Elephas maximus indicus: one gene and its partners. The protein of the gene in region 2 interacts with the protein of the main gene of each other region in a pairwise test. Links are inferred from orthologs where the notes say so. Each region holds a gene or a part of one and is shown on either strand. Other genes may lie near its edges.

Region 1 (7,907 bases), on a different chromosome or scaffold from region 2:
GCATAAAACACCGTTCTCAAAACAATTTGGCAATACTCAACAAGAGTTTAAAAATATTTACCCCCTTTGACCCCAATAAATTCAAATATATGACCCTATCCTGAGAAGCAAAATCAGAGATTCAGGCAAATTTTTAAACAGAAACACATTCTTCCACAGAAGTAGCTGAAAACAAGCTAAATACCCAACATAGGGAAATGATTAAGCAAATTATAGTACACGCATATGATGACATACAATGCAGCAACTAAAAAATATGTTTGTGAAAAAAAGTTTAATACCATGGTAAAATGCTTATATGTTAGGTAGAAAAAGGCAGGATAAAAATTCCAAATCTTGTTTTGAAGAAGGGAGGGGCAAATGAAGAAAGAGCAAATGGAAGGAAAGATGCCAAAATGAGAACAACGCTTAGCTTCAAGAAACAGCATTATGGCGTGACGAATATAATTTTATAATTTCTGAATTTTCCACAATATTCCACAATGGGCATGTTACTTTTATAATCAGAAAAAATACTTTTTATTAAAATAAAGCATAAGGTCAGAAGAATATTGGTTTTAATATTGTTCTCAATCGATTTACCAGAAAATAAATCATAATGGCCTCTTTTATTGAATTCTGGTCAGGCTTTACTAAAACAGATTAAGAAACTAAAACAGATTAAGAAACTACACAGGTCTAGGTCTGAAACCAATCAGGCAGGTAGAGTGAAACTTGATAAAATACACAGTAGTTCTCAAATGTTAGTTCATATAAGAAATGCTGACATTTGGTTAGAAATATAGATTGCTGGGCCCACCCCCCCCAAAATCTGATTCATTGACTGTGGAGTGGGGCTTGGGAATCTTCAATTTTAACAAATTCCCTCCGTGATTACAATGTTTATTGTCTAAGGGCCATACTTTGAAGAACACTGAATTAAAATAATGCCCATGGTCTGAAATTAAATGATAACTCTTCTCCACCAGGCCATCAAACTCAATGCCACTAGATGCTTCTCCTTCACTAGCAGTAGGGGCAACCTGTGAAAATCCAAAATTCTGATTAAAATTTCATGATTTTTTTCAAAGGTATTCTACCTCAGAGACTAAATTAATCCTCACCTGTCCATTTCAGCTAGATGATGATCAAATGTGTCAATCCCCAACATAGGTGTAGCACCTCAGAATTCTAAACAGTGAGGTAGGCAGAAGCTCCATTTTACAGATGAGGAAATGGAGGTTCACTTTCTCACTGTCACACTGCTAATATATGGCAGAACTGGTACTTAAACCTAAGTTCCTTGTATTCCTACATCACGTTGCTATATCAGTCCCCCAACACCAACAAGGGTCAAGAATCCACTGGTACAGAAACTATCTAGCTACTCATTTTGAACTAACAGAATGACAGCTTACATTTTTTTTAAGAGGTAGTAGTACAGTGTAGTAGTTAAGAGGATGGACTCAGGAGCCAACCGCCTGAGTTCAAGTCTTGGTTCCACCATGTACTAGCTAGGTAACCACGGTCAAGCTAATTTGCCTTTCTAGACCTCAATTTCCTCGCCTGTAAACTGTGGCTATTAATAGTATCTACCTCATAGGGTTATGTTAAAGATTAAACGTAAAGCACCTGAAAGCAATGCCTTGCAGACTCTAAGTGCTATGTTAAATATTTGCTCTAGGGTCGCTATGAGTCGGAATCTTCTCGACAATGAGGTTTTTTATTCTTTTTATTGATTACCTTCTATGGACCAAATACTTTACACACATTGCTTCATTTAAGCCTTCCAATAACCTAGGAGGTCAGTATTATTAGCTCCGTTTTACTTTGAGGAAATTAAGCCCAGAGAAGTTTAGTAACTTGTTCAATCCCCAAACTAGTAAGTAACACAGTAGGGATTTAAACTCAGGCCTAATTCTAATCACCCTGAGACAATGCCCCTCGACAAATCCAAGATTCTCACTTAAATACATAGAAAGGAAGGTCAGTCATCCCTTTGATAGGACCTGGGCTTCTTTCACACAACAAAGTAAAATATACTTAGTTGTTTGTTTTAATCAGTGACACATCCCCCAAAAAGAACTACATTGATTTGATGTTTCTCAATGTAGGAAATACCAGATGGCCCATTAACTTAGGGCATGGTCACAAGTGTCTGATTCAAATACTGAACAACGACCTTCACATGCCAGGAATTGTAGCTAGTGTTTAAGGTACTACCTAATTCCCTGCAATATCAACCGTAAAGAAATGACGAGAAGTAACTCGGAATGTGATCCAGAGATTTTTTTTTTTTTTTAAGTGGCTAGTTCCACCTGTCGGCTGGTGGCTGGAACTTTAGCCCTGAGCTGGGTTTTGTTTGGCTGAACAGATACAGGAGGGTCTGGTTCTCGGTCTCTCCACACCTACGGTTCCAGGTGAATGAGCAGGAAACTGAGGTGCAGGAGAAAAATCCAAAGCTGTTTTCACTGTCAGAGACTCAAGCCGGCTCGGGCTCGGCCTCCTCTTCCGGAATCCACCTCCACCTGTCGAACCAATTGCTCAGGTCTCCCTTCCGCCACTTAGTTCCTAAAGTGCCACTAACTAGGCCTCCTGGCTCAATACCTCCAGAGGTTTCCCCGAGCCAAAGCGGGCTAATTTCTGGGCTCAATGCTCATTCAATCCCACAAAACGCAAAGTAACTGATTCAGATCTCACCCTGCCTAACAGAAATAGGAAATGCCACCTCGAGCTCTCTCGGTCCAACTCAGCAGCCAGGTGGATCACCGTACTCTTGTCATTCGGGCGGGCAGCCCAGGCGACTGTTCCTCGCCCCTCGAGCACCCCCCCTGAGGCAGGTCAGCCGAGGGGCAAGCGCCGCCCTCGCGGATCACGGACCCCTAAAGCCGGAGGAGGAGACAGGGTCCCCGCATGCCCGCCCCTCCAGAGCTCCGCGGCTCCAACGACAGCCGGCTCCCGCCCCCACGGCTCAGGCTCGGTTTCTGTCCCGGAGTAGGTTCGAAGTCCCCAGAGCCTGGGCTAGGGCCGAGGCTGGGCGGGAGACGGGGAGCGCACGGGAAGAGGCCAGCCCCGGGTCCGAACGGCCTCGAGGAGCCCAGGAAAGACTGGGAGGGGCCGGGCCGTACCTGCCGAGCCAGCACCCGCCGCTCCGAGTGACGCCTCCCGCAGTGCATTGTGGGCCAGGGAGCGGCCTTTCCTCGGGGCCGCACCGCGTCCAACGTGGCTGGCGCCCGACGGAATCAAGCCCCGCCCCCGCTTCCCCGGCTCCCACAGACCAATCAGGTTCTGTGAGAAGGACACACTGACCCGCCCTCACCCGGGGCTCGCGTTAGTCCCGCCCCCTCCAGGGGAGATTGGCAGCGTCCCTCGCACCTGCGCCAGAAGAGCGCTTAGTTCTGTGACAAAACTACGTTGTCCCACAGAAATACGGCTAATTCCCCCTGCCTGCCGCCCCTGGTCTACAGGCAGTCTGTCTCTCACACACAGCCCTGCAGCAAACACTTACCCTGCCCCGTAAAAAAAGGGGGAAAGGGAAAAGCGCCCTGTGGGTGAGCGAGGAAAATGCCTGTCTCCATCTACCATCACCCGCAAGGAACCTAACCCAGAGAAGTGCCAGAGGCTTCTAGCCTTCGCATCAGCCATGCGTTATTAAGCAAATATTTACTGAGCGTTGACCATGTGCTATGCACCGTGTTACACATTGGGTTACAGGAGTGAACATAACACAACGGAACTTAAGGTGTAATAGGAACAACAAACATTAAAATATAAACTGGTACATGACTTTAAATTGTGAGCAGCTGTAAAAACGGTATGGAGGTGGTGTCTGACCTCCTTTGACTTCACAAGGTGTCTTAGTCATCTAGTTCTGCTATAACAGAAATACCACGGGTGGATGGCTTTAACAAAGAGAAATTTATTTTAGCACAGCTTTTTTTAGTAGGCTAGAAGTCCAAATTTAGGGTGTCATCTCCAGAGGAAGGCTTTCTCTCTGTCAGCTCTGGTGGAAGCTCCTTGTCATCAGTCTTCCCCTGGACTAGGAGCTGCTCTGTGTGAGGGTCCCAAAGACACACCCCACTCACAACACTGCTTTCTTGGTGGTATAAGGTCCCCGTTCTCTGCTTGCTTCCCTTTCCTTTTATCTCTTGTAAGATAAAAGGTGCTGCAGGCTACACTCCAAAGAAACTCCCTTTACGTTGAATCAAGGATGTGACCTTAGTAAGTGTGTTACAATCCCACTCTAATCCTCTTTAGCATAAAATTACAATCACAAAATGGAGGACAACCATACAATACTGGGAATCATGCCCTAACCAAATTGACACATATTTTGGGGGGGCACAATTTAATCCATGACACAAGGAGAAAGGAGAATCAAGATGAACCAACAGCCCACAGCTGATTCCAATGAGTTGGAGGTCAGACATGCCTTCTCTCTCTGGCATCTTTACCAACTCTGATACCAACCATTCCTTCCACGGCACTCTCTATTTCTCTGCTGGGTTCGATCATTCATTGCAATGGTCACACAGAACTGACAGACCATACTCACAACTATGGGGTTTACTAGGGAATTAACAGGTTACTATTCAGGTTTGGGAACACTCAAGGATACAGTTCTTCCATCAGGATAGCCTCTTCCCAGCTGTGCTCGCAGGCACACCTCTCCCCTGGCCCTCAGCCTCTGCCCAAAGGCACTCAGCTTATTCTCTCTGTGGGCTGGGAAGCCCACCTCGCTGACTTCTGCTGCCAAGTCTGTGCTGCCAGATCTCTGCTGCCGGTTTCTCTTGTCTTGGTGGTGGTGGTGGACAATTCTCAGGCGTGGCTCATTTCAAACCCAGCAGAACAGGAAAACTGACCAATCTGCTTGGTGGACCACAATTACCCTACCACACAGTCCTGCCCGATCACCTGGGTGGGAGTTACAAGACCATGGCTAGAAAGGCCACACAAAAGGTATCAATCACACTGCATCAGTACTATGAAGAAAATTTAGTGGATGTGATGATGGCTTAATATTGGACTGTCAGGGAAGAGCTCTCTGAAGTGCCTTTTAAACTCCAGGCATATGAACGAGCTTTTAAGAATGTTCCAGGCAGAGGGAACATTATGTGTGAGGCTATTACGGCATTAAAGAAGTGACATATTCTAAAAACAGAAAGGAAGCCAGTGTTGCCGGAGCGTAAGGAGCAAGGAGAAGTTTGGGCTGAGATGAGGCAGGGGCCAGACCATGCAAGGGCTTATGGGCCACATTATAGATTTCAGACTGTATTTTGGAATATATCCTAAGGTCAAAGTGCAGCTAATAGAGAGGGTTAAGTATGATCTAATTTACATATTTAAAAGCTCACATAAATTGTTTGTGGGAATAGATTGGAAAAGGGCAAGAGGGGTTGCTGGAAGGCCATTTTGGAGGCAGTTGCATTAGTCAAGGCCAGAGATGATGGTGGCTTGAACTAGAGTAATGACGGAGATGGAGAGAGGTGGATAATTTCAAGACATGTATAAGTTGGAGGTGGAATTCAAGGACTTTATAATGGATTGGTTTGCCAGGAACGGTGAAGAAAAGAGGACTATTAAGGATGACTCTGACTTTCTGCTTAAATAACTGGATGGATTAAGATGAACAATTCATTCACTCATTCAGGGAACATAGAAGGAGGAGCAAATGTTTTTGGATATGTTAAACATGAGATTCTTACAAGCGGAGATGTCAAGCAGATTTGGATAAGTAGTCTGGAGGTCAGAATAAAGGTCTGAACTAACTATATAAATTTCATGGTTGGGGTGTAGACAATATTTAAAGGCATGGATGAGTACCTAAGGAGACAGTGTAGAAAGCCTAGGAGAAAGGCCTAGAAGAAAAAGTAATTGAAGAAGCCAGACTAACCACATGGTCTAGTCTCCTCCATAAAAAAGTCCTAAAAACAAGCAAACAACACTGCACAGGCGGTGCCTAGTTTGTCGGTGCTCCCAGATCAGAGGTGGTGAATAGGAGTAGGGGAGAGCCATGGAGCTAATATCAGGATGATTTATTGAGATATCACAGCAGGAGGAATCAGTTGCCTTGGCCCCTCCCTCTCCACCACTTGTGCCCAAGCAGGGGGCAACAGAGGTGTCTGCCTCCGCCTCCCACCCCCCCCCACCACCCCCACTGCCTTGGGAAGAAGCACTAGGACTAGGAGGAAAAGGACTAGGACTAAAAGGCAGGGAGGCAATCCAGGTAAGTCTAAGTTAATGTTGATCTATTTGAACAAAAAAAAAGTAGTAATAAGCTGAATCTAAACTGCCAGGTGGTCTTTACATGGGAGATGGTGGGAAAGTGATTGAAGTAAAAGCATGGTAAGGTTCTCATTTTGTTTGGAGAAGAATAGATAGATTAAATCTACACACTGTGCTGGAGAAGTTTAATTTTAAATATGCATCTTAAAATTTTAAGAGTATGTGCAGACACCTTGAAACTTGCTTGTCAGTATCTACTAAAGCTGAACATATGCCTGTCCATTAACCCAGCAATTCTACTCCTAGATATATACTCGAAAGAAATGTATTCATATGTTCACTAAAAGCTGGGGATGGCATTATTCATAATAGCCCTAAACTAGAAATAACTCAATTGCCCATCAACAATAAATGGGATAAATAAATTTTAGAATATTCACATAGTAGAATACTATACAGAAAAGATAATGAACACTTATTTAGAATATTTATTTAGAAAATTTATTTAGAATATTTAGAAAATTTATTTAAAATATTTACATAGTAGAATACTATACAGAAAAGATAATGAACGATCTACAGCTACACACAAAATATGGTTAAATATCACGATCATAATGCTGAGCAAAAGAAGCCAGATACATACACAAAAAATACATGCTACATTATTACATGTGTGTGTGTTCAAAAACAGAAAAAAGATATGATGATGGAAGTTAGGATATTGGCTACTCTTAAGTGGTATTAATGTTTAGAAAGGGGCATTTAGAGGCTTCTGGACTTCTAACAATGTTCTCCTTCTTGATCTGAGTGCTAGTTTCAGCAGTGTGTTCAATTAGTGAAAATTCATCAAGCTGTACACTTATGATTTATATACCTTTGCAATATGTATTTTGTTATTCAGTAGGAAGTTTGCATTTTAAAAATGTTAAGAGTGATCCAGTCATGAATGGGTAACTGGTACCAGACTAACCCTCCTACCAAAAACAATATAAAACTGGACCAACTCTATGAAATAAGTGTTTTCAGGCAACAGACAATAGACACAGTAAGATTGTGATCTTGGAAAGAGGTAAAACAAGCAAGATTAGCCCAAATATTGCAGCAGATTTCTTCTCTGGAGGTATTTGTGGACCTAAGCACAGGTTAGAGGAAGCCAAGCAGAGTATTGTGTTCTTGGTAACTGAAGAGACAGAACTGGAATTCAGAAAGTCTGAGGCAACTGACATTTGCAGGGAGGAGTACCAGTGAGGAGAAGATTCAGAGAGAAAGTGCTCCAGAAACATGTATAAGGGTCCCCTTGAATCAGGAAGCTAGTTAAAGAACAACTCCTGGAGAAAGAACAGCTACTGGAAAGCTGTAAGCTGAACAACAACTAGAGCTTGAAGAGAGTTTGGAAATATTCAAGCTCTGATCAACTAGAGTGGAAAAACTTGATGGAACACCTGGGGCATTTGGTAGAGAGATCCCAAAAAGGCCACACTTTAGAAATAAGATTGAACTAACCTCGGCGTAAAGGTCATTCTAGACCCACCCAAACAAAACTGCAAGTAAATTAACTGCTTGCATGAATGAAACTTAACAGTCTTTAAAGGAAGAAAATAAAATCCAGACACTCAACCATATAACATCCACGATGTCCTACATCCAGTTCAAAGTTACTGTGCACATGAATAAGCAGAAAAATATAAAACACAACCAGA
Region 2 (7,803 bases):
AGCCAAGTGCTTAACCGTTTGCACCACCCGAGTTTCCGTCGGGGGTGACGAAAAGCTTTTGGAAATGGAGTGGTTGTGCAACATGGCGAACGTAATTAATGTCACTGAATTGCACACGGAAAAATGCCAACTATTTTATTGTATATTATTTTAGCACAATTAACTTCTTAAAAAATGAACAGGCAACCCAAGCTCATCTGCCATCTGAGGTAATTTACGTTAACAATATTAAACTACAAAGTGGAACAATTTCGGCATAAAAGATGTTCACGGGGACTATGCCACCGTGCTCCGTTTGTTGTCATAATGCAAAACGCCCCTTTTTCCTAAGGAGCACAAAGACATCAGGGAGAATTTTCTGTGAACAGAAGTTCACAGTTATGCTTTGTTATTTTTGTTATCTTAAGATAGCTAAAAAATAGCGGTGAAAGGACAGTGGGTGTCAAGGAGACCCAGCACTCTAAGGGGAGCTTAATCAGCAGTCTCTCAGACACCAAACCTCCAGACCATCCTTTGATTTTCCAACTGATTGGGATCAGAAAAGAAAAAAAAAAAATTGAGAGATTTGAAGGCAAAAGAAAGATGAGTGACTAGTGGCCGGTTTTGTTGTTTGTTTGTTTGTTTGTTTGTTTGTTTTTCTTTTGAGGTAGCCTGGTTTGTTATTAACATATCAAGATAATGAGAATTGCCGTAACCACATCTCCAGATTGATGATGCCCTTTCTTCCCATTGCCCATGATAAGGAAGGCCCCACCGTTCATGAAGAGTTGTTGCCTTTTTGATTTTTAATTTTAGATACTCTCTACTTGGCATTGCATACACTGTAAAGCATAAAACTTTTATGTTAACAGGATCAGCATTAAGAAAATCTATGAACTGTGCTAAGTCCCAGCTTCCTTCCATCAATTGTTTTTATTTCTATGTACTTTTGAAGGCATGCTATTTTTTTTTTTTAACTCACAGGATAGTATTATTATTATTTGTCTTCAAATGCTATGGTTTTCCCAGAGGCACGAACAGTTTCGTTAATTCTTTTATTTTCAGATAGATAGGTAAAATTAATAAATCAAGTAGCATACTTCATTTCTAAATTCAATATGATGTCTGTAATTTTTAAAACTGCACTCCTCTAGTCCTAATAGCTAAATTTCATTAACCCAGTGGTGACATCTCCCTCAGTCTCAGGGGCACGGGTCGCATCCTGGAGCCTGTCCTGCAGGAGCAACTTGATTTGGCTTTGGACACGGGAAGCCAGTTCAATATTTCTGGCTTATTTTCATTCACAAGCTGTCTCTGACTTGGGAGACCTTTTTCTTTTTTTCCATTGGGGGTGGGAACATTTCATCATTTACTGTAACTAATTCCCTAGAACGGTCCGGTCTCCTTTCCTCTAAAAATGATTGCCTTTTCCCAGTATCCTTTGCAACAGTGTAACTGCCATTTTTTCTAGAATGTTCCCTCACCCACATTGAATGTAGCTTAAAAGACTGGCAACAGATTTTTGTGACTCACGTGATTGGATTTCCTAATGGCCAGGAAGCATAGAAGCCTCACTTGCCTCACCCTAGTCCTGGCCCTGAAAGATTGATAGTTCAGATTTGGGGCTTTTTTTTTTTTTTTTTTTTTTTGGTTTTTTAAATAAAATAAAGTGCCATTTCACACATTCTATAGTTATACAGAGTAAAGTTATATGTACTCCCCAAGCAATATATGTTTCAGGCATTCTAGACTCCCAAGGGTTGAACTTCAGCTTACCAAAGGACGACCCTGAGCCTCCTGCAGGTCCTCCCAACCCTCAGTTTCCTGCCTGGCACACAGAAGCTTCCTCCTACCCCCACCTCAACATCTGGCCTTGGTCCACCTAGCATGGTCGACTGTAGCCCCTACAGCCAGTCTACCCAATCCCAACTCTGTCACCGAGTGCCAAAGGTCCCATACAGTACCGCTTTCTTGGGTCGGGGAGCATTCGTATTCCAAGCTGGTGAGACTCCAGTCGAGCCAGCAGCCTTTGACTCCAACTTCTGTCGCCGCTGGGAGCCAGCACCCAGGGACCGGAACCCACGATCCATCATTTCTAGGAAGAACAGAGGCCCCAGGAATAGCCATGGAGTTTGTACCAGGGCTTCCTAGGCAAAGGACACACCACGAAGAGAACAGGGCCCCCAAACCTCTTGAGGATCAAACTGCGCCATTCACCCCTGTCCAGCGAGTGACCCCAGCTCTCAGTTCAAAAGCTCATCAAGTATTTACTGAAGGCCCAGTACCGGAGAGAGAGCAATGACTAAGAGATAAGACCCCAGCAATCAAGGAATTGACTGTCTGTGAGTGTTTAAAGAGGAGTGGTTGTGCAAAACAGAAAATAATTAATGTAAGTTCAAAATAAAGAGATAGAGGCACCAAAAATGATGAAAATGGCAACATGATGGAAGGAAAGGACTACTTTTAGGAATCTAGGGAAAGAACATCCCAGATAGAAGAAATAGCAAGTATACAGGGATTTGGTATTGCTGTACTGCTGTGAGGGAGGCACAAGCTCAGGGTGTGATAAGGACAAGCATTAATGCAGAGTGGAGAGGCCGCTGTTGTGTGTATACACCACAGCCTGAGGCACTGAGGAGGGACCCTGGTGTCGTGTAGACCAAGGTCAGGCAAGGCACTAGAGGAGTGGGAGAGAGAACTGGTCTGTGCGGTCTTGTGACTCGAGTCTTCTGAATGTTTTGCAATCACTGCAGTGGTGGCTTGGACAAGGGAGAGACAAAGGGCACACACATGTGGCCCCCACCCTCCTCCCTCATGGGTTGCTCTGGGTTCAGTGACATAATGCGTAAGCTGCAAAATGCTCATATCATGAACCCCTGTCCCCTCAGCACATAAATATATGCACACCAAGGCACACACACATACATTCCCTCACACAAGTACAAACACATATATGCACACACATGAGTGTCCACCCAGGCACGTGTACACCTCCTCCAACACACACATGCCCAGGTGCCAACCACCTCAGGGAAGGGACGTTTTAGGGCATCCTCACCTGTCATCAGCTGCTCCTGGCTTGGCCCTTTGTCTCCAGGACACCGCTCTTCTGCCAAGGACGCTTCCATCTCTTCCTTGAGGCTAAGGGGGCCTCCTGCCATCCCAATCAGCTATGGCCAAGGACGTGCAAGGTGCAGGGCCCAGAGAGGCACTTGGAAATCCACCTCTTTGAAGGGTGGGAGCCCCAGAAAGATATACCCAGGCCTGGGGGTGGAGCCAGACTCCCTTTCTGGGCTCAGGCCTTGGGCCCAGCACCTTCTGTTCCTGCTGTATCTTCTTGGCTGTGTTCGAAGCCTTCTCCCCTGCTACTCTGTAAGCAACTCAGGAGAAGAGATAAGACTTCTCTGCCTGTGGGAACTGCTCTGACTCCTGGGTCTCCTGCCATGGCCCACTGGGGACGTGGCGGGGGGGGGGGAGTCCACCCTCCATCATGGTTAGGGAGAGGCAGGAATAGGGGCAAGGCCCCAAAGTCAGGCAGCAGCCAAAGCAGGGCTAGCTCCCAGGCCAGTGGTGGCTTCATCCAGTCTCCCACCCCCATCCAAGAAGGAACTCTCAGCAGAGCACACCCTGCCTCCGTACCCAGGGTGCCTATGCAGGGGAGGCAGCCTTTCTCTGACCTGGGTCCACCTGGGCAGGAACCATGAGAACCAAGGGAGGGAAAGGCAGGCCAGGAGGGACCTGCCTCTAGCAACACGGCTCCTGCATGCAGGAGGTTGGCCAGTGGCCATGTGTGAGTGGTGGGCTTCAGACCCAAGATCCCAATGGGAGGCCAGGAGGCCTGAAGCTCTTCCCCTCCCAGAGACCAGACAGTTGACCCTGGAGAGGAGAAGGGGGCCCAGAGCACATCTGGCTTATGTGTGTGTATATGTTTGCAGTTTTTTTCATACAAATGAGGTAATACGCTACATGGTTTTCTGGCACTTACTTTTTAAGCGAACAGAGGGCCTTGGGGATCTCCCCACGTCAGAGCAGATCAATCTCAGTTCTTTCAAGATAGCCCAGCTTCACGTCTGTGTATTGTTCATACACTTTGAGCTTTTGGATCCGGTGTCTTTTCTAAACAATGTAGCAGTGAGCACTCCTGGACAGGCCTCCTTGCACATATGTGCCAATGTGTTTGCAGGGCGGGTGCCTCGAATGGAATTAGAGTTCTAGGCTATATGTAAGGAGCCCTGGTGGTGCAATGGTTAAGTGCTCAGCTGCTAACCGAGGGGTCAGTGGTTTGAACCCACCAGCGGCTCCAAGGAAGAAAGGCCTGATGATCTGCCGTCAGAAACATTTCAGCCTAAGAAACCCTATGGGGCAGTTCTACACTGTCACGTGGGGTGGCTATGAATTGGAATTGACAACACCCAACAAGAGGGTATATGTGGAAGAAAGGCCTGGCGATCTACTTCCGGAAATCAGCCAGTGAAAACCTATGGAGCACAAGGACCCAACCCTAACAACAACAGGGTCTCTGTGTGTATGATTTTGACCAATATTGTCAAAGCCCCATCCAAAGAGGCTGCACACAGTGGGGGCCCACCACAGGGAAGAAAGTGTTTGCTTCTTTACGGCCTCATCAACAGAAGACATTATGAGACTTTCTAAAAGGCATCATTATGATGGGTGAAAAATGATATCTATGTTATTGTTGCTCTAATTTATACTGCTTTAATTATGAATAAACCTGAGCCATTTTTCATATGTTTATTGACCTTCTGTATTTCGTTTCCTGCGAACTATCTCCTGGAGGGCTTGGATCTTTATTAAAATAAGAGCTGTTTTATTAAGCGAAAGGGATAAGGATGAAAGCGCTCCTTCCCCTCAAGCTTAGCATCTCCAAAGAAAACATATCATCTTCTCCCCTAAAGGCAGTCGTGAGCACAGAGGCCCCACTGGGGACCAAACAAACCCAGTTAATTGCATCCAAGCTTTTGCTGATATCTAGAGGGCGTTCAGCCCCCACAGAGTCTCTCTCTGCCTGCACACCTCCCTATGTACCTGCCCCCAGTCTGGCTGCCACTCACTCTCCACTGCCCCTGTCAGCAGCAGTGGAAGGCAGAAGGGACCCAGGCCCAGGGCCAGAACTGCTGAGAGTGCCTCCTAGTCCTGGTACGGGGGGATCTTAAGCAAGTCACTTCCCCTCTCTGACGCTCAGTGGCCCCTCATCACACAGAGTAGTGGGCGAAAACTCAGATCCAGTTGTCAACTGTGTTTCATGGCTTCTGGAAGGTACATTTGGGGCTGCCTGGGCTTCAAGGCAGACCCCAGACCCTCTGCATCATAAAAGTTCTGGTTTGGTCACTGACTTATACTGGGGTCCCATGCAAGATATCATTCAAGCTGAAAGTCCTGAAGGAAAGTACAAAGCCTTTGGATGTGAGGACCCCAGGGCCTGCCTCCAGCCCTGTTCAGAGCTTCTCAGGCAGCTGCAGCTCCGAGCAAACCCAGAACTTCCAGGCACCTGGGAGCTTCCTCTACTATTATTAATGAAACTAGGAACCTGTGAACAATTCTCCCTCCTTCTCCTGGATGCAGCTGGTACTGCGGTCACCCCTCACCCCTGGAGCCCTAGGGCCCTCCCCTCAGCTGGAGAGGAAAGGGGCCCAGGACTAGCAGAGGCCTTAAAGAGACAGAGGGACAGACAGAGGGGCAGACACAAGGTCAAACCACAAGGGCTATAGCTGGCCCTGGGAGCAGAGAGAGGCAATGGGCAGTGACAAGGCCACCAAGGATGGCCCGCAGGATCGACCCCATGGGGAGAGGGCTGCCAGAAGGAAGTCACAGGGAGCCCCTTGATCTCCAGGTTTCTGTGTTGAATCAACTTACTGGGTGCTGGGCGCCAGGGATAGAAACCAGATCCCTGTCCTCACAGAGCTCATGCTCTAGGGAGCAGAGCCAAAACAGGCCAACAGGAAGGAAGCTCATGGGTCTGGAGGGAAGTGGCAGGGGCCTGTCTTTGGGGAAGTCATGCCCTTAACCCCGCCACACACTGCCTTACTGGCCTCTGTCAATCTGAGAGGGCCCTAAAGGGTGACCTGGTCCAACCACTGTCCCCTGTCATCGGATTGGTAAAAGAACCTTCCTGCTATTGAGTGGAAGCACTCTTGTGAAGTGTGGGCATGAGGCACCTGGATGAGATGCTCAGTGGCTCCCTGAGCCTCCAGGACCCTTCACGGAGGGGGCTGCCTGAGCATCCGGGGTGGGACCGAGCTATGAAGACTCCTGGGTACCTCAGGCCTGGCCTGGAGGTGGAGCAAAGAGCAGCACAGAAGGTGGAGGGGGAAGAGGAGGGCTGCCTCCCAGCTCTTTTCTCTCCGATCCCCCCTCTCTGAGCCTCAGTGGCCCCTCTTTGCACAGAGCAGAAGGCTAAAACTCAGATCGGGTTGTTGCCAACTGTGTTTCATGGAGACTTGAGCCAAGGGCACCTAGCCAACAAGGAAGAGGTGGAAAGAACAGTGCAGAGCCCAGACACTGACCAGCTCTAAAGCCGAGCTGTGAGCGAGCTGGAGGAAGACGTGGGGAAGGAAGGAACAGAAGGCAGAGGTGAGAAATGCTGTTCTGAGAAGTTGCATGACAAGTGCAGTGAGGCCAAGCCTCCGTTTTACAGATGTAAAAAGAGGGGCTTAAAGAGGGCCAGGGCATGACCCAGTTCACTTAGCAATTCAGTGGTACGGCTTGGGCAAAGACCAAGGTCTTCTGACTGGCAGCCCAGGAGCCTTGCTTGACCAACAGGAGGTCCCATGGAGGGACTGGGCCTAAAGGGTTTGGAAAACATCCTCTAACCCCATCCCTCCCAGATTGCCAGCAAAAAGGTTGCAGCTCCACTTCCTGCTCGCAAGCAGTGTACACCAGGGAGGTAGGGTGGTGAGAGCCTGGCTCTGGAGTCTTACTGCCCCCCTTGGGGTTTGAGCCCTGACTCCCCAATTCTTAGCTGTGTGACCTAGGCAATTGACTTTGCCTCTTTGTGCCTCAGTGGTCCTACCTTGAAAAGGGGGCTAAGGGGTCATTGAAGGGAAGGGACTTAGTTCCTGGTACAGAGTTTGTGCCTGATGCACATGAGCTGCTAGAACTTCCACATGGCCTCCAAGGCCTTCCTGCACTTACAAAGGACAAAGTGTCCATGCCCTGCACACGGTCGTCCCTCCCCTGGGTGTAGGATGCATCTCCAGCTCCGTCAGCAGTCTCCGTGCTTTCCCAGGCCCTCAGCTTCTCCCCCACGCCTGGACGTTTCTCTTCCATACATAAACATCTTCTTCACCTCTTTTGCCAGCACTGGGCTGTGAGCTCCATGAGGGCAGAGACTTTGTCTGCTTCCTTCTCTGTCTCCCCGCCTGCACTCAGCACAGCACAGACACATGGTAGGCACTCATTCAAGAGTAGTTGAGTTGGAAATGACCACAGCATCTTGTCTCACTCATGCTACTGTCCTTACGCTGCTCCCTGAGAGTGTTACCCATGCCATGCACACTGTCTTCACTTTCTCACCTCCCAGACTACTTGTTCTAGTCCAGCGACTCACCCACCGTCAATAAAACAGCCCCTTGTCAAAGGTCAACAGTGCCCTTCTGATTGGTCAACCCAAAGAACCTGCTTTGGTCCTTGTATTCATTTCCTGGGGCTGCTGTCACAAAGGACCACACACTGGGTGGCTTAAAACAACAGGAATTTATTGTCTCACAGTTCTGGAGGCCCGAAGTCCAAATTCAAGGTGTCAGCAGGGTCGTGCTCCCTCTGAAGGTTCTAGGGGAAGATCCTTTCTTGCCTCTCCCAGCTTCT
Region 3 (7,630 bases), on a different chromosome or scaffold from region 2:
CTCACTAACTGTGGACATCAGCTGCTGGCCAGATGTGCAGGGCACAAAGTGAAGGAGCTGCCCTGGCCAGCTGCAGAGGGGCAGCTGGATGAGCAGCTATTGGGATGCCCCTTTCAGGAGCCCTGGGCAGTGTCAGAGACTAAGGGCATTGTTTCCTCTCCAGTCCGCCTCCATATGGCTACCGGATTCCTCTTACTGAAGACTGCTGGGATCCAGTCCCTCTCTCCTGCTCAGAGGCCTTCCATGGCTCCCCAGTGCCCCTAGGACAATCTAGTCAAATCCACCTTTCCATCTGATCTCTTACTCCTCTCTTCCTCTTACCAGCAGAAATGCTCCAAACCAAAAACCAAACCCAGTCGCTGTCAAGTTGATTCCGACTCATAACAACCGTGTAGGTCAGAGTAGAACTGCCCCACAGGGTTTCCAAGGAACAGGTAGTGGATTCGAACTGCTGACTTTGGTTAGCAGCTGAGCTCTTAACCAGTGCACCACTAAAAAAAAAAAAAAAGGGCTCCAGAAATGCTCGCAGCTTCCCAAATTCACCCAACGCTTTCTTTGCTCCTGCTGTTTCCCCAACCTGAAATGCCCTTCTTCCCTATACCATTTGGTGAAAACCCAGCCCCTTCTCCAAGGTCCCCTCAAGTTCCTCTTCCTCCAGGAAGCCTTTCCTGATATGTTTGCACCGTCTCCGGAGCCAGATTTTAGTTTTCTGTCTCCTGAGGTCTTGGTCACTTTCAGTCTCGATCCTGCTCTGTATTATGTCTTGGCTTTGTCTGACTTGAAACTAAGCTTTTGCCATTGTCTCTGGCTCAGCTCAGCCCTGAGACAAGACACTCCCCACCCCACCCCCCCAAAAAAGATGTTTTCTGATTACTAAGTAAATACACGTTTATATAGAAAATCCGGAAAATACAGAAAAACACAAGGCGGAAAATTAACCCCCCTGTAATCGTTGTACCCAGAGAGTAACAGTCCTCCTGTTCTGTGGAGCTGTATTTCCTTCCCGAGTTTTTATATGTGGACTTAAAAAATACACGTTTCCACCAGACACACTGATTTGTGAAATGCGTTATTTCATTTAACAGACCACATGTCTCTAAGGTATAGTTTCTTTTGTGGACATGATAACTCTTCACCAGTTCTACAGTAACATTTACTGAGCATTGCTCTGCATTTACTGAGCACCTACTGTGTGCCAGGCCCCATGCTCTGCTTTAATCCTTAGAACAGCCCTGGGAGTGGAAAATCATTATCCCCATTTTACAGATGAGGAAACTGAGGCTCAGAGAGGCCCAGGCACTTGCCCAAGGTCACAGACGTTCTAGGTGGCAGAGTTGGAATTACAGGTGCCAAGTGACTGCAGAGTTCTGGCCCTCACCCATCAGGCTACAGATTCTCTCCCCAGAAAAGGCTTATATGACAACCGCAATTTCACTTTACTTTTGGAATTCACAGACTTCTGGAAGCCCAGTTACAGGCCCCCAAGTCCCTGTCCCCCAGGAACAGAACACCCTGGGTTCGAACCGCAGCACTTCACCTCTTGGTTGTGTGGCCTTGGACAGGTTAGGCCCCTCTCTGAGCCTCAGTTTCCTTATCTGTGCAATGGAGAGAATCATTCGTACCCTGCAAGGGCCATGAAGGGCACAAGAAATCACCCAGGTAACATGCCCAAAACACTGGGCTCTCAATAGCAGCTCACCCCACAAAGGTGTCCCCAGGAGGTGTCCACCAGGCTGACGCAGGTGAAATGCTATCATGAGGCTCAGGCCCTGCTTAGGTGAGAACAGCAAAGCCCTTTCATGAGTCCCGCCTTCCTGATGTTACAAAGCCTCCACAAAGCCTCCCCAAAGCCGGGGAGCAGGGGGATTTCCAGATAAGGTGTCAACCCAAGGCTGGGATGGCAAAAACAGAGCCATTTAAAACCTGCACTGGCTTCTGCCCCCTAGGTGGGGCCCTGGAGTGTGAGACCAGCACTTGGCCAACAAGTGCTTGTCCAGCCCTCTTTGTCCATTCTACCCCACCCCCTCCTTTGCTCCCCTCCACCCCCTACCGCGCTTCACTCTCCTTCATGGAGGCCTTGCTTGTGCCAGGCCTTGCTCCCCTGGCTGCAGGCGCCCCATCTTCCTGTCCGCCACTCGCATATGCCATCTCACGAGTCCCATCACCAACCCCCGTGTCTGGCACCATAGTAGAGGTCAATCAATATTTGTGCAATGAAATGGACAGATGAAGTCATAGCAAGGACAAAACCCAACCTGTAGTGGGCGTCAGAGGGTCCACTGGGCAGGGGTCGCTGAACAACAGACAGATGTTGTTGGGGCCACAGCAGGGGGGCTCGGCTGGGGCTGGCAGGATCCAGAGGCCCCCCAAGGCAGCTCCTCTAGACCAACGCTCTCAGCATGTTTGCTGAGCACCAACTGTGTGCGTGGTACCAAGCCTCTGATCTCTCTGGAAGTATTCTCACATACATTGAGGCTTCTTGGCCCAGGAGACCCCGAATCGCTGCTTTCCCTCTCTCAGTCTCAATTTTTTCATCTGCAAAATGGGTGTAGAGAGAGGTTACTATTTTGTAGGGCTCCTTGTTCCTGCCTCTCAGGTGCCCTGTGGTTATGGTCCAGTCAAGGGGTTGAGGCCGTCCAGGCTTTGCGGGCCTGGAGTTTTATGTAATTTGGAAGACCCTCCTTACAAAAAACAAAGCAAAAAAAGTTTGTCATTGAGTGGATTCAGACTCATGCTCCATAGGGTTCCGAAGGAGCAGCTGGTGGATTTCAGCTGCTGACCTTTTGGTTAGGAGCCCAGCTCTTAACCACTGCACCACCAGGGCTCCTCTTTACAAAAATAAACAAAAACAAACCCATTGCCATCAAGTCAATTCCAACTCACAGTGACCCTGTAGGACAGACCAGAACTGTCCCCTGGGTTTCCCAAGGAGCGGAGCTGGTAGATTCGGACTGCCAACCTTTTGGTTAGCAGCTGAGTTCTTAAGCACTACCACATCAAAAAGGTGCAGAAAATTACAGACACACTATAGGTTTGGCTTGGAAAGGGGTCTGAAGAACGAGATCCAGGGAGGGGCACTGACGTTTAAACTCCCCTCCAGTTTACTAAACATTTTCCTCTGATCCTCCCAACAGCCCTGCAGGGGCAGCGCCAGGCCCCTTTCACAGATGAAGACCCCGAGAGAGGAGTTATCAGTGTCATCACTTCAAAGGCGCTAAGAATGAGGCCCCTACAGGTAGCAAATGCGAAGCCAGCTGGAGGCGAGACCCTGTGGATGCCTGGCCTGTGCGGTAAACAAGCTTGTTGTTGTGTTCCCGGGACAATGGTAACTTTGTTACCCCGTCACCCCTCCACCCATCCAAAGCCTCCGCTGCAGGGCTCCTGGCCTGGGGGCTCGGCACCCTCCCCACCCCAGGGCTAGTCCGGCCTGGACCTTTCTTGACTTCTCCTCCTTGGCGAGGTTGTGGGCACTGTCTCATCCCGGCCCCCACGTGGGCCGCCCGGTGCCTAATCGCCCCCTATTTTCCCGCTGTCGCGAGTCTCAGGGCGGGAGGGGGGCTGCGGTTGAAGCCTGCACAGGGGCGGGAGGGAGGCGGGCAGGGTGGAGAAAAGCCCCCAGGCTTTGGTTCGGGGTGCTTGATGCTGGCTCTAGCCCAAGCCTCAGCTTCCACCTGTGTGAAACGGCTTTAAAAAGTCCAGACTCCTGAAGGTGTCTGCACAGAAAGTACGACGTTTTGAGCGCTGAAATCACTTACCATGAAGCCAGTCATTTCATTCTCCCTGTGCCTCAGTTTCTTGTTCGGGAAAATAAACATGAAAAAGCCCCGATCCCTTAGGACTTTTTTGAGGACGAAGCGAGGCGATCCGTGGCACGAGCCTTGATTGATCTACACAGACCCAGATGAAGTTACCGGGGCCTCCACAAACATTCATTTCTCTGGGCCTGCTGGGTGCACGGCCTCATGCTGGGCGCAGGGAAAAGAGCAGCGCAAGGGACAAAACAAGCTTGCAGATTAGCGGAATCAGAGAAGGTAAACAAGTAAACAGATCACACTTGTAGCAGCTCTGTTGCCACTCCTGCCTCAGTCTTCTCATCTGAGCAATGGGGCAGGGGAGGCCGCTCCCTGGGGCGGGGGGAAGGGCGGGGACGGGACGGGTCTGGGCCTGGGGGCCTCGGGTCCCGGCGGGCGGGGGTCGAAGCGGGGTGGGTGAACTAGAGGCCCCAGAGCGCCGGGCCGGCCGGGGCCGGGTGGAGGGCTGCGGGGGGCGGTCGGGTCCGGGCAGGCCCTGGGGTCGGGGCGGGGCCCGAGGGGCGGGGAGAGGGCGGGTCCCGGCGGGCCTGTACGGTCCCTCGCCGGCAGCAGAGCCGCAGACAATACGCTACCCGGCTCGCGAGCCCCGGACGCAGCCGCCGCCTCCGGTGCCACCGCCGCGAGGTAAGTCTGAGCCCCGGGCGCCCCGGCCGTGCCCGGTGCCCCGCTGGCATCCGCCCCTGCGCCCGGCCAGAGTCCGGCGGGTGGCCGATGGGGGCCGTGGCCCAGGCTTTTCCGACCTGAGAAGTGTCGGGTGTGTCTGCGGGGCGACGTCTCGGGACCCCGGATTCGCAGCGCCCCCTCTCTGGCTTGGGACTCTGGGTACTGTCATCCGACTGCGCCACCCTGCAGGCCTCAGTTTCCGCATCTGAGCAGTGGGGTGACGCCCCTGCGCCCGGTCGCTAACGCACCACCTGGCTGCGCGGCCTCCCTAGGCCGGGCTCTGATTTCGGGGTGCCTTGGCGGGGGGGAGGAGGGGCCAAGGGCACGGAGTCGGATCCCAGCCCAGGGCCGTGCCGGCAGAGACCCGGTGTCTACTAAAAAAGGGAAGATGGCGTCGGACACCTGTCCCCGCCGGGACCCGAGGCACCCCGAGCCGCCGCAGACCTGCAGAGGCGACGAGCCAGGCTTGATTATGGCACACGGGAAAGCCCGGAACAGGGGCTGCCACCGGAGCCGGGGCGGCCACCGCCCGCACCTGCCCACGCCCCCAGCACAGGTGCTTCCGCGGGCGGAGCTGGGGCGCGAACCCGGCGTGGGGGCCTGGCCTTGTTTTGTCAACACAGAGCCACGGGCTCTCGCGCGCTTAGCATTTGAATGGCCGAAGCGGCACGTTCCGTCCAGTGGCCCGGGAGGGGGTCCCCGCTGCCTGCTATGCGCGGCCACAACAAGCCCTGGCCGGCTGGGGACTTGTTGCACTTTCGCAGTCTGGCTTTGGACTCCTGCTTGCGAATCGGCTGTGTAAACCATTAATTGCTACTTTGATATTCGCTGGAATGATCCACCCCAGGAGGGAGGTGTTGTTTTTGTTGTTGCTGGCGTTGGAACATTTTCTGAGCACCTGCTGTGGCCGGGGCCCGTGCATGTGGCTTTCTCTGGTAATCCTCGCTCCAGTTCCCCTAGGAGGGAACACTGTTAGCCTCATCGTTCTCGCATTAGTAAGGGGCAGTTGAGCCCGGCGCTAGGTCTGGTAGGGCAGGAAGCTCCTAACGGCGGTGCTGGCCGCCTGCAAGGACAGGAAGCCTCATTTTACAGATGGAGAAACCCAGAGGGGAATCCCAGAACGCCTTACGATTGCTCTAGCTCAGAGCCCAGAACTCTTTCCTGGAAGTCAGGCCAAGCCTGCCTGCACTCTCCACTTTCCAGCTGTGTGGCCTTGGACAGGCTGCTGCACCTCCCTGAGCCTCAGTTTTCTCATTCTGTAAACCGGGGATGATGGTAATACCATATTCTAAAGGAACACCCGCCCACGTGTTGGTGGCTGTCAGTGATTCCTCTAGGGTCACCATTCACCCTTTCTCCATTTACGTTGAGTTTCTTGAGCACTTTGGCCTGCTCTTGGAATAAATTCTCAGGAGTGGCACAGTTTAATCTCTTGGTGAAGAGTGAGGTACAGTGGATCTGAGACACTGGTGGGCCCCCTCTCCCTAGGCCCTCCAGGGAAAGGCAGCCACGGGAGCCTTCTGCTGGGCCTGGATTTCACTGGCGCTGGGGCAGGTGTGAGCTGCCTGGCTGTTACTGCTCCCTGCTCCTCCCACGTCTCATCAATTGCCCACTCTTCTCTCCTTCTCACTGAGGATGTGAGAATTGAAAACTATCTTCTGAACTTTTAGGTCATGGACTTGTATAGTTGTGGTTTCTTCACACCTTGCCTGTGTTAGGTTTTACAATTTTTCTTTATTTTTGCTATTTTTAAAAAATGTTTAAAGTATCTGGGGAGACTGGCGAGTTTTAGGTAGCTAGCAGGAATAGTAACAGGGCGTGTTGGTGGTCTAGCGGTAGAGTTCTTGCCTTCCATGCAGGAGACCCAGGTTCGATTCCTGGCTAGTAAGCCTTGTGTACAGCCACCACTCTTCTGTCGTGAAGGCATGTGTGTTGCTAGAATGCTAAACAGGGTTCAGTGGAGCTTCTAGACTAATAAGACAGACTAGGAAGAAAGGCCTGGTGATCTCTTCCGAAAATTAGCCAGTGAAAACCCTCGGGCTCACAAAGGACTGACCTGCAATTGACCTTGGGGATGGCGTGGGACCAGGCAGTGCTTCGTTCTGTTGTGCACGGGGTCACGGTGAATTGCAGGCAGCCAACAACAACAACCAGGTACAATAACAGATAAATGACATCTGGATTCACCGAGCTGTTAGCAGCTCTTTTTTTCACTTCTGGTCGTCTCTCTTGAAACAAGCGAAGGGTGGTAACTGGGAGAGTTTGATCCATCAGTGAGCTTTGAAGCTGAAGCAGCCAGCAGCATTTTTCCCTGTCCCTGGAAAGTATCCTGTTTTTAGCATTAAGTTTGTGGACAATTAATGGCTTCTTGCTTCCCCTGCCTCGGACTTAGTGGATCTCAGAACAATTCCGAGCAGCGATGAGGAAGCTCTTGGGTTTTGTTGGCGGCAGCCTCCAGGAAGCTGACAGTGGGGTCTGCAGTGGCCATGTGCACCCGCTTCCTCGGCCTCCCTTTGTCCTCCAGGGCTGGGCCCTGGGAGCAGCACAGACTGTCAGCAAACCAGTGCAGGGACCCAGGTTCCTGGTTGGCTCAGAGGTAGGCGGGAGAGAGGGCAGGCGTGGTGGCTAGGGTGCAGGCCGGGTGGCAGGCGGGCAGCTGATTTTCCTAGTGTCAATACAGGGATGTGACAATACAAAACACTCTCCGGGCCTCACCAGGCATCGCACACAGAACCTGTTTTTCCTGAGGTGGGAGAAAACATGGTGCCTACCTGGTCACCCGGATAGACAGCAAAACTCAGGGGCGAAGGAGGAAGCCCACCTGGTTATTTCAAGGAGGGCCACTGTCACTTGAATTTTTTAAATTGAGGGGTTTTGACACTTTGTTGCCCTCAGCAAATTGCATTTTTTAATTTTGCTTGTTTTTTTAACTTTATTTAAATGGAGACGTATAGAATGTTATCTTTTACGTCTAGCCTTTTTCCTTATGTTTGTAAGAATCGTACTGTGATGGTTAATGTTATATGTCAACTTAGCTAGGCCATGGTTCCCAGTATTGTGTAATTGTTCTCCATTTTATGAACTGATGTAATTGTCCTCCATTTTGTGGTATCGTGTAATTATTCTCCATTTTATGTGTAGTAAATCCTAAACCT
Region 4 (7,411 bases), on a different chromosome or scaffold from region 2:
TCAGCTCTACTAAATTAGATTCTGCGGGTGAGCCCTGGCATCCGTATTCCTTAACATGAACCTAAATTATTCTGAAATATCCCAGCCCTGCATGCAAATAAGAACAAAGTTAGACATCAAATTACTTGCCCTAATCCAGTACCTTTATCGAAAGACCCAGGGCGTTGCCATCAAATCTTTTATAATATGAAAATGACTACTTAATAGTTTCATCTCCACCTGCTTACGAGGATACACATCACTGCCAAACCTCTCATGAGCACTGGTCAGCATACTTCTCTCCCCATTAAAAAAAAAGGCACCAAAGATCCAAAACAAGACAGGATGTCACATCTTCAGAACAGCAGTCAGCAATCCCTCCCAAGGGCAAGGCCAAAAATATCCCCCGAGCCAAATTCCTGGCATAATGTCCTTCTTTTTAGCCCTTTCTGGAGATGTGCATTTTAAATGGGTTGCAGCAGTAGTTACCTTGGACAGGTGTTCATCAAATAAACTCACTATCAGCAGACAGAGAAGGGCCTGTGAAAAATGGGCCACACCAGGAGCAAGTTTTGACAGAACACAGGAAAAGTGCAGAAAGTCCTACTGGAACAGGTGAATGTTGAAGGCAGGAATGACAAGAAAAAAACTAAATCTGCCTCCTTTACGAATGTGCAGGCCAGAGGGTAAAGCCACTGACTAGATTTTAACTGAAAGATACGTGCTCCTGAATTACGGAAACTTTCTTCATTAAGCTCCAACATATCTCTTAAAGAAATATATGAGAAAGTCTAAGTATGTGGTGAAGGTTTTATTATAAGATAATGAATGTATAACCTAAGCCAATACCAAGCCTGAAAAATCCTGTAATTATAAATTGTATGAATAATGAAATACTCTGCACCAGAACACCCAGACCTATAAAAGAATTACATGTACATATCCTCTGTATTCAAAAGGATTATGTACAAGATAAACATACTTTCCACTACACCATATCATGTCTGAAGACCTTAGAAAATTCTATAGCTATGACTTCAAAGGTTATGAAATACTCAGTCCACCTTAAACCTAAAAAGTACCTCAGATCACTAACATCTAATTTCTTACTGACTTTAGATGTTGTAGTTTCTATTCTTCTTGTTAAAGGACTCTAGATAAGACACCAAGTAGTGATTAGTACATTAACTAAGATGATACACTGCCAAAGTGTCTCCAGCATGGACTGAAAATCTGAAAGACATGTAAGAAAGGATCAGAAATCCAATTTCCTATATGGAAGTTGAAGCATTGCTTCTTTTTTGTTCTCTCTGGAATTTTTCCACCACCCTAGGACAGAGCAGAACTGCCCCAAAGAGTTTCCAAGGAACGCCTGGTAGATTCGAACTGCTGATCTTTTGGTTAGCAGCCACAGCACTTAACCACTATGCCACCTGCGTTTCTGTCCCAAATGTAAAAATTTTGAAAATGTTAACATCTAAAGAAGCATATTCTATGGGATGAGAAATTTAAGACTTGAGAATGTATTTCAATGCTACAGGGGCAGGTTCACCAAATCAAATAGCCCTAATCTTGACTCAGCCTTTTACTTACATGAAATCTCACACTGAAAATCCTACAGATACAGAGGCTCCAAGCATTCTACCTCAAAGAAAGAATAAACCTATAGAAGAAAAAGCTCTGGACTATTCATTTCAAAGACTTAACTACTTGCATTAAGCATATTTTACACTAAAGTCCCTAAGGTTCCTTTCCGCTGAAATCGTCCTTAATTCTCTGAGTAACTGTACCAGACTATCCTTAGAACTTGAGTAATTAAAAACAGAATCTGAATGAGCAAGAGAATTCAAAATTAAAGTTATCCTCATTAAGTCTAATTAAACAGTACAGACAGAAAAATGGAAGCAGAATAAAGCATTCTGAATTAGGGACAGGGAGAATATAATGAATAGTTTGCATACTCAATTGACCTCAAGAAGGAAGCACAAAATTCAATGCAAGCTGGAGTTTGGGATATAGCTGAAAATATTTGTCTCTCAGGTAGGAACTGGCCCACCCAAACGGAAGCAAAACTTCGGCTTCTACCCCAATGCCGTCGGGTCGATTTCGACTCATAGCGACCCTACAGGACAGAGTAGAACTGCCCCACAGTTTCCAAAGAGCGCCGGGTGGAGTCGAACTGCCAACCTTTTGGTTAGCAGCCGTATCACTTAACCACTACGCCACCAGTGTTTCCTTTGGCTTCTATTAACGCTATAATCCAACTATCTGAAGTAACCGACCAACTGCAGGAAAACACCTGTCAATAATAAGGTGAATTTCCAAATTTTCAAGTGAATTCTCCCTTGCTGGCAGTTTTTCTACTTTCTATCCTAAAAGGAAATTCATTTACTCAACTCCGCGAAATGGTTACATATCTCACCCCCCTATCTTGTGACTCCAGCACTTCCAGTCCAAACAAAAGCCCTCGTTTTTATTCTCGCCACCAGTAAAGGGCTGTAGCTGTTTGCAGGGCATCCCGCAGGCACCTACGTAAACTCTCGCCTCAAACAATATCGTGGTATCACCGTGACGGACACTTGATATTTAATTAGTCCTCGACTGAAACTGATATCATCGGGAGCCGGTGAAAAGAAGCTTGAACGCCCTGCGGAGAGCCTCGGCGACAGGAGGATGGCAGTGCGGACTGGCACCTCCTCGGCATGGGACACGGGTGAGCAAGCCTTTCCGCAAGTTTCCCTTCCTTTCACTAAATTAATCTACTAAGCCTCTCATCCCCACCCCGCCCTATTAGGAGAAGTCACGCCGGCCACTCGCTGAAGGACAGGGAGACAGCTCCCGGCGCACTAGGGAAGTTGGCTTTGGCAGGGGCCGCGGCTTAACCCTTGCTGCCCAAGAGCCAGGATCGACACCGCCCTCGCCGAGGGCAAAACCGGCTGCCAACTTTCCCGCTGTCCCCTCCTCTGCGCACAGCACCCCAAACTTTGCCGTTCGTCCGCCAGCCCACCCGGCCGCACCCGAGCGCCCCCCCCACTCCCGGCCGGCGGAGGAGCTGACCTTCAAAGATAGCCCCCGGCCATGTGCGACCACTGCCCGACCGCCGAGTCTCCAGGCACCTCCCACAGTCCCCCTCCGCCGCCCCCAACCCTCGCGCGAAATTGGTGGTGGGGGCGACTGCAGCCCGACCCCGCGTATCCCGGTTACCCACGACCCTCTGGGCCAGAGCGAGCCCCCGCCCTGGCGCCTCGGGCCGCTCACTCACCATTGGTAAAGGGCTCCATTTTCCCCCCACCGCGGCTCCTTGCACCTGGAGCGCCCAAGCTTCCTACTCTGCGAGCTGAGGCGGCCCTGCCGACTGAGCATGCCCAGCGCGGCCGCCGAGGGCTGCCGGGGAGGTGCCGCGAGGGGCAGCGCCGCTCCACGAAACCTCCACTCCGGGTTTTCGCGGCGGCTGCAGAAAAAGACAGTGAGGCTTGAGGCAAAAGCGCGGCTCACGCTGGGGCCGACTTCGGGGAAAGGCGGGGGAGGAGAAGGTTAGAGCTGGGGCGGGGGCGGGGCCGGGGCAGGGCCGAGACTAGACCCGCCCCTGCCAGAAGGACCAGCGACTCTGCTCTCTCCACTAACAAGAAGTGTGTTGAGTCGCTCAACAAATGTCAGGTCCTACTGCGTCTGGCCCGGTCCAATGTGCCGGGAATCCAGCATTGCGCCGGAAAAACATGGTCCCTGCCCCGTGGAGCGTACGTTCCAGAGAGAGACAATAAACAAGCCCAGGTGACTAGTTAGACTGGAGTAAACCCCCCCGCAGAACATTAAATCAGGGTGGTGGGCTGGAGAGTGAAATTAAATCAGGGTGGTGGGCTGGAGAGTGAGGGAGTGGCTAATTCGGAAGGCGTCATGAGGAGCGGTCACGCTGAGGGGGTGCCTTGAAGCCGAGATAAGAAGAGACAGCGGGAGTCAGCGGGCGGGAATCGCTCTCTAGACGGCTAAGCTTCTGTTTCCTTGGGGAGATTGGCCCCGGAGAACTCAGTTCTCCAAGGCCCGAAAGAGCAGGCGCCACGAGTCTCGGAAGGGCTGCCCGCCTGCGGCAGAGCGACCCCAAAGGGCCGGTCCTCAGGGGACTGAAGTGGGGGGAAGCCCCATCGGCCCGGGTGCGCCCGGGTTGCCGTACTCCGCTGGAGGCTCGGGGCGTGGCCTCCCGATGCTGTCGGATCACAAAACACGGGGCGGATCGACCGGCCTGGGGCCGCGCGTGCCGCAGGATATGGGTCGGCCAGGGGACCTTAAATCAACACCTGCGGCTCCCGGGGAGTGCGGACGCTGGGGCCAGCCGCGGGGCGCTAGGCCCGGGGAGCCGACACTCCTGTAGTCGCCCGAGGCCCCCGGCACTCGCGCCATGGCTTCCAGCCCTGAGCCACCATTGTTTCCAGTTTCAAATCAAGGAAGCCCCGGCAAGCCTCTGAGACAGAACCGTTAGGGGCCGCGTTGCCCCGGGGCAGGCTCAGCTGGGCGGCTTCCTCGTCCCTTGCTCCGTCTGTGCTTCGCTGCTACCCTCGAGGCGGAGGCCGCCGCCTTCTTCCCCTCCCTCCTCCCATATCCCCGGCCCTTGCAGCGACTTGTCTCCGCTGCGCCGGTCTGCGCCTGCCTACTGTCACACGCTCCTCCGAGGCTGTCAACAGGAGGGCGTTGGATGCGAACAAGACAGCAGGGTGCGCACGGCCTGGGCAAACAGGCACGACCTGGGCGTCGTTTGACCCGCACAGGAGTTAGAAATTAGATTTCAAAGAAATAAAATTGTGGTACATAGCGGGTTGTTTTTGTAGTGCGCAGCGTTTTTGCAATATTGTATTTTTAAATGTACTACCCCCTCTCCAAAACCTCCGCTTACGCATGGAATAAAATCTGAACTCTTTGCATAACTCTGGAACTGCATCTCCTACTCTTGCTCCCCGTGCTCTTATTACAGGCCTTTGTGCCTCATGCCTTTTCTGAAAATCGCCAAGTTCCTTCCAGCATCGTTAACCACTCCTCTTGCATGTGCCTCGTGCGTGAACTGTGCCTTCTGCCTGCTACTTGGCCTGCTAGTTCCGTCTTGCTATTTACGTCTCAGCTCAAGCTCAAATGTCACCTCTACACAGAGCCCTTCCCTGACCATGCAATCTAAAATAACCACAAACACAGTCCACTCTATATAGATTTGCCCTGCTTTATTTTCTTCATAGCACCCATGGCTGTCAAACAATGTTTTTTATTTGTTAAATTATTATTTATCTCCCCCTCAGGAATGCAAGTTCTATGAGAGCAGAGTCATTACCTTTTTTAGGGCTGTACCCCAGTACCTAGATAAGCATGCAATAAATAAGTGTTGAATGAATAAGTGAATGGGTACAGTGGTATTTAGAGTTCAAGTTCACTTCCAATGCCGAGAAAGTCTCAGTGTTGAATGATGTGTTTGTGATTAGTACAGAGAAAGTGTCTGCGTGGTATGATACCTCAAAACTGCTCTCTCCCCACTGCATTAAAGATAGTAAGAGCCCTTTAGGCTGGCTCCCTGCAGGGCACTTCAGAGCGAAAAACAGAAAGTGAACCACCAGGGCTGGGGCATCTGTGTTCCTATATGATATAGTATATGCAGATCTGGGTTTTGTTAAAATGACCCAACAGATTCTATTGCTTAGATAAGAGGCTCTTTACATTTTAGGTCATCTTCCTTTGGGGTTATTTTTGCAGCCAAATCGCTTAGTATCAGAGATATTTAAAACTCCACAGCTTGTTGACTCACCTCACCTGTAAGCTACAGTCTGTCATGCTTTTAAGTGTGAAGCACGTTGTCTTGTTTTGTCTTACATGCCTCAACTCTGCAGAGACTTGTGATAAATATTTTTGCACTAGCAAGTAAGTAAATCATGTCTTTTTGAGATTTCTTTGACAAAGAGACAAATAATTTCTTTATCCTTTCTTTGTCAACCTTGTCCTCATTCCTCTGCCATTCCTACACCTGTGTGCCTGAGCACATACCCACATATTAAGGGCTATCTAAAGACTTGCGGTTTTGTATTAGAGATAAAAAGAATAAAAACCGAAGTCATTCAGAATCCTAGCTACCCTCAAAAGAACAAAAATGAATTTCATTCCTTTCATTTGTTTGTTTTTTGATACCATTTTACATTTGACTTCATAAAGCCTTTTTGAGGGAACATGATTTCACAAATTTGCTGCTAAAACACATTATGTTTCTATCTTAATCTCCTCCTATCCTCCCACACAGAATTTCCTCTTTAGTTGAAGCATCTAACACTTTAAATTATTATGACGTTACTACTAATTACCAGAGGAGATAGTGTGAATTATCTACTATACCCATCTACTATTTTCAGAATCAGTCTACTGTTTAAAATTTGAAAACCAAAATTTTGGAAGGCTAATTGTAATATATAATAAATAGTATGAAAGGAAACTTATGAGCACCCTGGATAACAAACAGCATTCATTTATGAAGAACGAGCAAACTTGCTAATCAATGAATGTAGGAACCTTTCCATCAAAATAAGGCACTTGGTTTGTCACAGATCAGCTAATCCAAACCTCATATTTAAGAGATGAGGGAACTGAAGTCTAGAGAAGTTAGGAGATTTACTCACGGCCCAGCAGCAGGTATGGAATTCAGGTCATCTGTATTCTAAGCCAGTGCTCTGGAGTTTGCTGTTGTTCCTTATTCCCACAGCGAAATTAGGGCCAATGACAATAATTCATGAAAGAGATATGGGGTAAAGAGAAATACAGCTAACTTCAGGCTACTATTCCATTCCATATCAACTTTGGTTTAGCATTATTACATCTTCTAACTATTCTGAAATAAGCAATAAAATACATTAATTCCATGCATACTTTTGAAAATGATAATATTTGTTCAGCACTCATGAGTAAATGGAGAATGCTTCAACCAGGCCCAGGGTGACCACTGTGATGTTTCCAGATACCCCAGACCTTACTTAGCCACTGCAAACACCAAAGGAGTCAATAATCTCATTGCCTCAGCAACCTGTTCTGAGTGCACACGCTTTGCGTAAATTAATAATATTTAAAGTTATACCAAATTAAGAACTATTTAGAGCGCTAAGGAAAACAAAATAAGTATCCAACATTCTTACAGAGCCTAGGAATAAGCAAAAAGCTCAGGCAAGTAAAGTGAATAGGTTATTATCAGGAAGGAAACCCTGGTGGTGTGGTGGTTAAATGCTATGGCTGCTAACTGAAAGGTCAGCAGTTTGAATCCACCGGCTGCTCTGTGGAAACTCTATGGGGCAGTTCTACTCTGTACTATAGGGTCACTATGAATTGGAATTGACTCGACGGCCGCTGGATTGATTTGGTTTGGTTTTAGTTCAGATGCTTTGTATTACAAAACCAAAACCCTAAATCAAACTAGTTTAAA

The links.
Region 1: the proteins of FATE1 (region 2) and SEC22A interact in binary tests that used the Homo sapiens proteins (3 or more experiments, as listed by UniProt). The two-hybrid records come from large-scale screens. The link is inferred for Elephas maximus indicus from reciprocal best matches to the Homo sapiens genes FATE1 and SEC22A.
Region 3: the proteins of FATE1 (region 2) and BIK interact in binary tests that used the Homo sapiens proteins (3 or more experiments, as listed by UniProt). The two-hybrid records come from large-scale screens. The link is inferred for Elephas maximus indicus from reciprocal best matches to the Homo sapiens genes FATE1 and BIK.
Region 4: the proteins of FATE1 (region 2) and LNPEP interact in binary tests that used the Homo sapiens proteins (3 or more experiments, as listed by UniProt). The two-hybrid records come from large-scale screens. The link is inferred for Elephas maximus indicus from reciprocal best matches to the Homo sapiens genes FATE1 and LNPEP.

The regions. Positions count from the first base shown.
Region 1 is NC_064819.1:14,015,377-14,023,283, reverse strand, and holds the start of SEC22A (vesicle-trafficking protein SEC22a), read right to left. Parts: upstream 3,177-7,907; 5' UTR 3,108-3,176; exon of another isoform or gene 2,680-3,107; intron 1-2,679. UniProt on the Homo sapiens protein: May be involved in vesicle transport between the ER and the Golgi complex.
Region 2 is NC_064846.1:4,707,757-4,715,559, forward strand, and holds the start of FATE1 (fetal and adult testis-expressed transcript protein), read right to left. Parts: upstream 3,141-7,803; coding exon 3,038-3,140; intron 2,075-3,037; coding exon 1,918-2,074; intron 1-1,917. UniProt on the Homo sapiens protein: Involved in the regulation of endoplasmic reticulum (ER)-mitochondria coupling. Negatively regulates the ER-mitochondria distance and Ca(2+) transfer from ER to mitochondria possibly implicating it in the regulation of apoptosis.
Region 3 is NC_064822.1:187,372,003-187,379,632, forward strand, and holds the start of BIK (bcl-2-interacting killer), read left to right. Parts: upstream 1-4,375; 5' UTR 4,376-4,436; intron 4,437-7,630.
Region 4 is NC_064820.1:104,522,396-104,529,806, reverse strand, and holds the start of LNPEP (leucyl-cystinyl aminopeptidase), read right to left. Parts: upstream 3,425-7,411; 5' UTR 3,261-3,424; coding exon 3,242-3,260; intron 1-3,241. UniProt on the Homo sapiens protein: Release of an N-terminal amino acid, cleaves before cysteine, leucine as well as other amino acids. Degrades peptide hormones such as oxytocin, vasopressin and angiotensin III, and plays a role in maintaining homeostasis during pregnancy.